2 linked regions of the Neurospora crassa OR74A genome follow. The protein of the gene in region 1 interacts with the protein of each later gene in a pairwise test. Links are inferred from orthologs where the notes say so. Each region holds a gene or a part of one and is shown on either strand. Other genes may lie near its edges.

Region 1 (4,311 bases):
CGTCTCCTTTCGCTCCTCGTCTCCCTCGACCTTGGAAATGCTGCTTATAACGGGAGCTTTGATCCTGATAGCCTTACTCACAAACTGTGCGTTGTAAGAGAACTTGTCGGTATTTTTGACGTTCTTTGTGGCCGGTTCCTTTAGCAGTACCCTGCACTTGGGAACACTCGAAAGTGAAGCCAGTGTCCGCATGAGCTCTGGTGCCGGAATGTTCGTCTTGGCTTGGATCTCGTCGAAGCTCAAACTTTCGCCGTCCACGAGATCGTTGAACAGCATAAGCACAATCATGCCATACGTCGAGACGTTTAGCTCATACCGCCTTTCCTTGCTCAAAGGTCCAGTCTCCTTGCCCGGAACCTTGGGGAACACACACTTGATGTCCGCATTGCCCGCCGAGCTAACCCATGTAAGAACACGGCCGCTCCTGTCCTTCAGGTAGTACTTGTAAAAGCTCTCCTGGAGCCGCTTGATTTCGGGTGGATAGAAGCAATCCAGTTTCGCCCCTTCTCCCTTCGACGTACCACCACCCATTACCTCGGGTGGCCAGTTGTTGGTGGTCAGGACGTTGATGTTGAGGTCAACCATCTTATAGTCGGCATCACCTAAACTGGCGATATGGTCACGGTAGTTGTCGGTTAGGTCCTTGGACAACTCCATGTCCTTGAACATGCCTTCAAACTTGGATGTGAAATGATTGCCCATTTCTGACTTCATACGGGATACCATCTCCTTCTCGGTATGGATTTCAGACTTCCCATGCAGTAGCCGCTTGGCCAGATGTTTCTGGTAATACCTTTCGAACATGTCTCGATCTGTAAGATATCTGAGAAGAACGATGGCTTTATCCAAGACAGCGTCTACTTCGGCTTCCGTCTTGGTCTTGATGCCGCGTTTGAGGTTGTCATCAATGAATAGAGAAACATATTCAGAACTGCGATTGAAAGAGTTGATGAAGTCGGAGAAGCTTCGTGTGATAGCGGACTGTAGCAGGAGATCATCGCAGAAGCAATCGGACAATATTCTGTCGAACTTGTCCTTAAGCTGCAATACGTCGTCCACCCACTTGATAGCGGCAGCGGTTTGCTGCTGAGCCGGATTCAAGGTCTGGGGTTTGGCCTTCTCTGCCGCTTCGCCAGCATCCTCACCATCCCCAGCAGCTGCACCAGCGACGGAAAAGTCTGTGTTCTTGAGCGCCTTCTCAATCTCCAGTCCAAGCTCCCGCACTCTACGTTGTAGAATAACCTTTAGCGCCGATTTCGTACTGTCCACTCTGGATATGAGTTGGTACAGGATCGAAAGGTCGTCCAAGCGATCATTGTCGATCATGGGCTTCAGGCCGCTCCCCTCCATGGCCAGAAAGACATCGAGCTTTGCCTCGATGAGCTCCTTCTCCACAACACTCGCGATTTTGTCGGTCGTCATAATTGATAGGGTAGTACCACATCGCTCGCGCTCCTCGTTTAGTCGCCGTTGGGCATGGCGGAGCCACGTGCTGCAATTTGCTTCCTGGACCAGCTTCTCACACTCTTTACGGTAAAACTCGGTGCTTGCCTCGAGATACCGAGGTTCGAAAAGGGTTAGGTAAAGCCGATGGTTTTCGATCTCGTCATCTGTCTCGTATAAGCTCTCAAGCATCGCAGTTATTTTGCGCACTAGGTTTCGGTTGATGATATCGCCGTCGCGCTCCATGTTGATCAGGTCCAATATGACGGCGCAGAGAATGTCAAAGACGACAAAGTCTTGCTCGATGTCTTCTGCGGCGGCGCCAATGTGGCTCCGGAGGACATTGTTCCGGAAGAGACCAATTGTAACGGCAAACAGAGAGGGCTGCTTCGTCTCTAGGGTATAGACACGGTCGAGATACATGAGCACATCCGCAATCATGTTCATAGACCTATTGTGATCCGTCCATGAGTCTCGTATTCCGCGCAGGAACTTTTCGCCCATCTCCCTGCGCTCATGTGAACTCGACCCCGGGTGCTGAAGCAGCGATATGTTGATCAGGTTCTTGGTGATCAGGGCGGCGATGTTCGGCATGATGTGATCTCGGAACCACTCCTGCTCAAAGTCTCTAACCCTCTCGTAGAGTAGGGCGCCCTTCTTCCGAAGCACAATCTTGTATGAAGCTCGGTATAGTTGTTCGAAGGACAGACGGCCGGCGTTCTGTAGGTGAATATCGGTCATGGCGTCGCGCAAAAGGGCCCAGCATGGCTCGAACTCGCTCTGGTCTCGATTCGTTATCGGCTAACATATCATTAGTTTAACTGCATGGTGAAAAACGCCCAAGCCGCGTAAGTAAACCCAATACACACACCTTCCTTATGGGCCTGATCTTGTTGGTTCTCGATGCCATGATTGCGACGTTTGTGCTCCGTTCCTAAACCGCAAGGGTTTTTGTGAAGGGTGAAGTGGAAGTCCTGCAGGTGTGACCCCTCCAATAGTAGCTATAGTGTCAAGCGACCGCAGTCGGTAACCAGTAGGGGTATCGACGGTGTGTGCGTGAAGAAAAGGTCTGAATAGAAGACGCGTAATAGCTAAAGGGCTATGGTGATTGTGGCCAATGAGTCGTTATTGATGGAGAGTCACAAAGGAAGTTGTCAGGTCGAGCTGGGCCAGGGCGCGCGGGACGAGCTCTCAAAGGGTTGGAATGGGTTCTGCGATTCGCAGCAGATGTACACGATCCCCAGACCGAAGAAAGAAAACGTTTGGTGGTCCGCGAATCGTAAAGTATATGAACCCCCGGGGCTGAAAAAAAAAGACCAAATGGAGAAGTCAAGAGAAAGTGAAAACCCGAGGCATGTTAATTGCCAGAAGTGGCAAACGTGAGAGACGTGGTCGAGGATGAAGTTTAGTAATGGAAGGGTACCTAAACGGTATTTGACAAACGGGAAGTTCAGGCACGCGGTAGATAGGTGTGGATCTCCAGGTACTAGGTACTTTCAACAGAGCTTAAGAGATCGAAGCAGTATCATAGTAGTAGTGTGTTGTAAGTATTATTACACGTTACGTACCAGCTCCAACGCCGGGCACCCAGTGTTGTTTACAGACTCAACAGAAACTCCGTTAATCTGGGTGAGTGTCGAGGGCAGCTCAAGATGAACACCAGATAGAGAGTACTTGGCCTTGCCACTTTACTGGAATTCATCATCGACAGCATCGCCGGAAAGATGCGAACTGTTACAGGTGGAGAGGCGCACTGCAAGGGAAGTAGAGGCAAGTGGATTGGATATTCCGCAGGGATCGTTATCGATAAGAAACATTGCGACAGGGTACCTACCTATGCGGGCGGGCGGGTCGCGATGCTGCTGGACTTCTACGGCGCAATGACGAAACGACCGGATTCTATCCGAATCTATCGCATAATATCTTTTTTTTTGCGCAGAATATCATAATTTTTGGCCGTGATTCAACCAATTCCCAAACGGGATCCCATACCGACCCAACATTCCCATCTAATACCTCCAGCCATGGCCTCCAAACGAGCAGCGGCATCAACACTGTCCTGCATTACCCGACTCGGCTCGGCGCCGGCGCAATCGTTGAAAACCACAACCACAACGTCGCGCTTCCTCAACTACTTCGTTCACTCCTACAGCTCTCAGTGCCAGCGGCCAGTACCACTGTCACCGCAACAGCAAACACAACAACGAGGAGATATCAACTACACACCAATCCGACAAAAACACACCATCCCTCGTCCTCGAAGCCAGCCCTCATCCTCCCCCGAACCTCAATCCCCTCCCTCCGACCAACAACAACCCGCACAACCCAAGCGTGACACGTCCCAAGTCCCCCAGTACGAGCTCACTTTCACCTGCATCCCCTGCGATCACCGATCCAAGCACAAGGTCTCCAAACAGGGTTACCACCACGGGTCCGTGTTGATCTCGTGCCCGAACTGCCGTAACCGACACGTCATCAGCGACCACCTCAAGCTCTTCGGAGATCGGAAAGTGACGGTCGAGGATTTGTTGAAAGAAAAAGGGATGATGGTCAAGAGGGGGACTCTGGGCGAGGATGGGGATGTGGAGTTTTGGGAGGATGGGACAAGTACCATGAGGGAGCCGGAGCCGGAGCCGGCGCCGGAGAGGCCGAAGAAGGAGGTGGATAATAGTCCGCCGGGGTCAACTTTCAAGAATGTGAGGCCTGGAGAGGGGAAGAAGGATGGGGATGAGAGCAATTGAATGTTGGATGGATAAAAGGGGGAGTGGCCATCACTGGAAATGCCTTGGCTGGAGAAAGAAGGGGCCGTGACGAGCGGGTGTGACTCTTTGGGTGTTCTGGCTTTTGGGAGTCGCTGACGGATTTACC
Region 2 (4,519 bases), about 2.3 Mb from region 1:
AGAGTCCTGCTGAATTCCACAACTTCCTTTTCCTTCCTCATCAAACGTACAATCGGCAGGTTCAAAAGTGTGGCTGTATCTGGCCTTCGATCGGGGTTCACGCGCAGGCAATCCTTGATTGTTGCAAAGAGTTCTCCCGAGTAAACGGAAGGTAACGGCGCAATCTTACCCTCCTTGATTTTCTGAACCAGCTGGTAATGCGTCTTGGCGTTGAATGGGGGCTCTCGGGCGCAAAGCTCGTATATGATGCATCCTAATGACCAAATATCCGACTTTAACGTGTATTTCTCTGCCGCGCAGATTTCCGGCGACATATAGAAGGGGGTGCCAACGTAGGTCGAGGCAAAGTCGTGCGACTGCATGACCTTGGAGAGTCCAAAGTCACCAAGCTTTACCGAGTTGTCTTCGCCCAGGAACACTACGAGGCAGCACGTTAGACCAGTCCACATACGTATCACAGGGTCACCTACCGTTCTCTGGCTTGAGATCGCGGTGCAGAATAGTCATGCCACCCGAAGGAGGTTTTGGCCTTGCTGTTGAGCCCAAACCAAGGACAGTCTTGCCGACTTCTGGAGGGTCGACGCCGTAGTGGCAGCGGTACAAAGCGGTGACAAGCTGGGAAAAGATGCTCCAGACGAACGATTCCTCCGCGTACTGGTTATTCTTAATAAGGTTGCGGATAACACGGCCCAGGTCGCCATTGCCACAGTATTCCATGTAGAGATGTAGGTCTTGGGTAGCTTTGAGATGTTCGCGGTGGTAGTATCCGACGATATTGGGGTGACGTAGGGTCGAGAGGATCGAGAACTCGGCGTGCAACTGTTCACGCTCTTTTTGCGACATCTTGAGGTAACTGATCTCCTTGCGGCAGAGGATCATGCCGTCGGCTTTGCGCCGCACCTTTCGGATGATGCCAAACGAGCCATGGCCTGTGGTTGTCAAGCAAGTCGTTGTCAGCCATCAATGTCACTGCTACCCTTTGTGCATGTGCATGTGGAGCGCCGTTCGATGGTTGGGGGAGGGTGTTTTCGCATACCGATCTTTTCTAGAAGCTCGTACTTGTCGCTCTCCGACATGTTGGCGGTTGACTAGATCAACGGGACCTCTGACAGGCTATCATGAATTGGGAAGAGTATGCTGCCTGATCCATAAGACAATCGTTTCGGGAAGTGTACCGTGTTGAAGGATAGGCCCTGTCGTCTAAGAGCTGCCGGTAATGCAATAGCAGCGTTGTATGCGATGGATGTGATGAATGCGATGGTTATGGTGATTGCGATGGGTGTATCCTAGTGCCGGGAAAGGATGCGCACGATTGCCTGTAACCAATCGAAGTTAGGTTCCGGGTCTTGTTGGGCGGCCCGGCTGGTCGTGGACGCTTCGGATGGGCAGCCCGATTGAGGACGCCTGCGAACCTGTCAAAGGGAGACCTACGCAGTACTACCAGTCAACATCGCGTTGCCCAGCAACTGGCGCGGGGCGGTGAGGCAAGCGTATCACTCTAAACATTAATACCTGTAAGCCGCCAGCCCCACTGCCAGCAAGCCGTATCGATAACACTGATAATCTACGATAAGATAAGATGTGTACCGTTGCCGCAAATCATCGGCTGTCCCGTCGACCATCCGGTGGCGATCCGTCACGACTTCCCGCATCGGCTCTCTCCTTGGTCCGTGCTAGCGCCCCGTAGCCGACCCGATTGCGTTGGTCGTCCGTCTGCTTACATATCTCCGGCACCCGAGATACCCATTTGCGGTGCCGCCACCCTCCTTCAGTGCATTCTCCTCTGAATATAAACTTCTCGGTCTGTTCCTAGTTCCTTGATAACGATACCCCTTCCTTGTAGCATTCAAAACTTGGCAAAACCAAAGAAAATATACGCACAGAAAAGATGGTACTTCGCAAAGACCAGCTCGAGCTCAAGCTCAAGGACGATGAACAATTGATTCGCCAAGGCGTCCTCCGCAATGAGCATCCGTTTGATGATTCCCCAGAGTTTCACGAATTCATACACGCGTGCCGTCGAGGCGATCTGAAGCACTGTCAGGAGTTGATATCAGGTGGCGTCAACATCAATGGCAAAGACAAGTATGACTATACTCCACTCATTATCGTATGTGACGTTCTCGAAAGCCACCTCATGCCTCTTGAATTTTGCAGTAGCACTGATATTTCAAAAGGCAAGTCTGTGCGGGCATTATGAACTGGTGCAACTCCTGTTAGAATCCGGTATGTCCTATCGCCAAGCGCCAACTCTCCACCATCCAGTCACTTACACGCAAACCCAGGTGCTCTGGCCGACCCCGATTCATTCGAGCGAGAGCGCGCGGTCTACAACGCTCTGAATAACAAGATTCGGAATTTGCTACTCTCCTATGATTACACCAAGACTGCGGATCCTTTACAGGCTTGGTCATCCCATATCACCTCGTTGCTTGTCCGCGAGATTCCGAAGACGACAGACATCAGTCTCCTCACAGCTTCTGAATCGTTCCATCTACATAAATTCATCCTCTCTTCCAGGTCGCCCTATTTCCGAAGAAAATTCGCCGACGCTCCTGAAACTAGCACTTGGAAACTATCCCACTCCATTCCTGTCGAGGCTTTTCGGGTCGTCATAAGATATCTCTATCTTGGCGAACTTCCACGCGACCTTGTTGGACCTCGGAGTACAGCCACTGAGGAAGAGGTTTTCAAGGGGATCGACAAGCTCTGCAAGCAGCTCGAAATTGCCCACCTGTGGGAAGCTGTTCTTTCAACGACCGACCGACGCTTGGCGCGCCAGAGGCATCAAGATGAGGTCCAGCGTGCTCAGGCTCAAGTAACTGCTTACTTCCGAGACACGGTCCTGAAGCACAAGTTCACAGTTGACACTTGTCGGGTGGGGGACGTGAAATGGCCCCGAGACAACGCTATTTCCGCAAACTGTTTGTTGCGTGCGGACGAGTTCGACGAGGGTGAAGGAGAAGATATCGCTGAGCCCGCGGAAGAGGCGCTCATATCTCGTAATGGTATTCCCATTGGCCCGACAGCGGCGTTGAACTCAACAAACGGGGCTTCGAATGGTGCGAAAAAGCCCAAACGCTCAGTCCTCTTCCCGGTGCACAAAGCCTTTCTCATCCGCAGTCCCTATTTTGAAACCATGTTCTCCTCCGAGTTCATGGAAGCCAAGGAAACCGAGCATCTCCACGTCATCAAGGTCGACTGTCTTCCCGAAGTTCTGGAGATCATCCTAACATTCCTCTACACCGAGAGGTCTGACTGCCCGCTCGAGCTGGCTCTAGATCTTCTCTACGCGGCGGACATGTTACTGTTGGATAAGCTCAAGACCAAAGCCGCGGTAGCAATTAGCACTCTAGGCAGCGGTACCAGCAACGCGCTGGTAGACCGCACCCATGGTGGGGCCGCGGAAGAGCTACAATCGTCACCACTCGCAACGTCGACTTCGACACCTTCGAGCGGGCAGCAACAAACACCAACTGGATCATCGCCGGAAGCGGATGGACAGTCAGTTGAAGTGGAACCCATTAACGTCTACGATGTCATTCACGCCGCCTGGGATCTTAAAGTCCAGCGTCTGGAAGATTTCGCCGCCCGGTACCTGGCCAGTCGATTGGAGGACTACATCGACGAAGAGGAGTTCGCCGAGTTGATTCAGGAAAGTGCGTCCCGGCTCAAGAGGCGTGAGGAGACGGACACTATTGAGTTGCTGGACGATATTCGGTATTACCTGGGCGAGCGATTCCGGTTCCGGTTCGAGGGTGATGGCATTGAAGAGATGTTGAATGAGGAGGGCGAGATTGATGCTGCTCAGGTAGAAGACCTGGCATTAGAGGCTGAGGCTGGGGAAATCCGTCTCGAACAGCCTTCTGACGGTCAGAGGGAAGTGGGAGGAGAGGAAGTGGGGAAATGCACTGAACGCGATGGTGAGGAAGAGGGAGGTGGTGGTCTACGAACATTAGACGGGAAGTTGGTTGAGGATGAGTTTGTGTCGGATGCGGTCAACTACCAGATCTTGCTGGAAAAGATCGATAAGATGCTTGACCGTCTGAAACTGGGTGCTTGAAGGGCTACGAGCGTTTACAGGAAAAGATATTGCATCAAGGCATTAGATGTTACATATGTCACGACTGGCTACACTGGTGGTTTTGTATGAATACGGTTCGCATAGAAGTTGGTCGTTTGTTTCAGGTGTCTCTCTCCCCCGTCACAGCGCCAAAAACTGAACTCGGTTTTTCTCGCAACGCTTTCTCCTTCCAGAGCAAAAATCGGTAGGCCAGCGACATCATCGTCTTGCATTGTAAGCGCAGCCACGTGTCTTTGGTCAGAGAAAGAGGGAAGGATCCCACAAAATGTGTTGACAGTGTTGAGATATCTGTGGCACCAGTATCGCAAATATTGCCTTCCTTCCTTTACGCCATACTCTCAATACTTGATACGGGCTTCCGCCCCAACGACGAACGTTGTCTCCAATTGCTCTACCCCTTGCTTATATCCCGATATCGATTAAGCAATATTCTTT

Evidence for each region.
Region 2: the proteins of NCU02498 (region 1) and NCU03186 interact in binary tests that used the Schizosaccharomyces pombe proteins (3 or more experiments, as listed by UniProt). The link is inferred for Neurospora crassa OR74A from reciprocal best matches to the Schizosaccharomyces pombe genes cul3 and btb3.

The regions. Positions count from the first base shown.
Region 1 is NC_026501.1:2,526,960-2,531,270, forward strand, and holds the start of NCU02498 (Cullin-3), read right to left. Parts: upstream 2,860-4,311; 5' UTR 2,354-2,859; coding exon 2,315-2,353; intron 2,245-2,314; coding exon 1-2,244. Other genes in the region: NCU02499 (DNL zinc finger domain-containing protein), read left to right, coding at 3,468-4,184. UniProt on the Schizosaccharomyces pombe protein: Probable core component of multiple cullin-RING-based BC3B (BTB-CUL3-BTB) E3 ubiquitin-protein ligase complexes which mediate the ubiquitination and subsequent proteasomal degradation of target proteins.
Region 2 is NC_026501.1:4,843,985-4,848,503, reverse strand, and holds NCU03186 (ankyrin repeat and BTB/POZ domain-containing protein), read left to right. Parts: upstream 1-1,662; 5' UTR 1,663-1,888; coding exon 1,889-2,110; intron 2,111-2,177; coding exon 2,178-2,226; intron 2,227-2,285; coding exon 2,286-4,063; 3' UTR 4,064-4,406; downstream 4,407-4,519. Other genes in the region: nim-1 (G2-specific protein kinase nimA), read right to left, coding at 1-418, 471-929, 1,037-1,076. UniProt on the Schizosaccharomyces pombe protein: Probable substrate-specific adapter of an E3 ubiquitin-protein ligase complex which mediates the ubiquitination and subsequent proteasomal degradation of target proteins.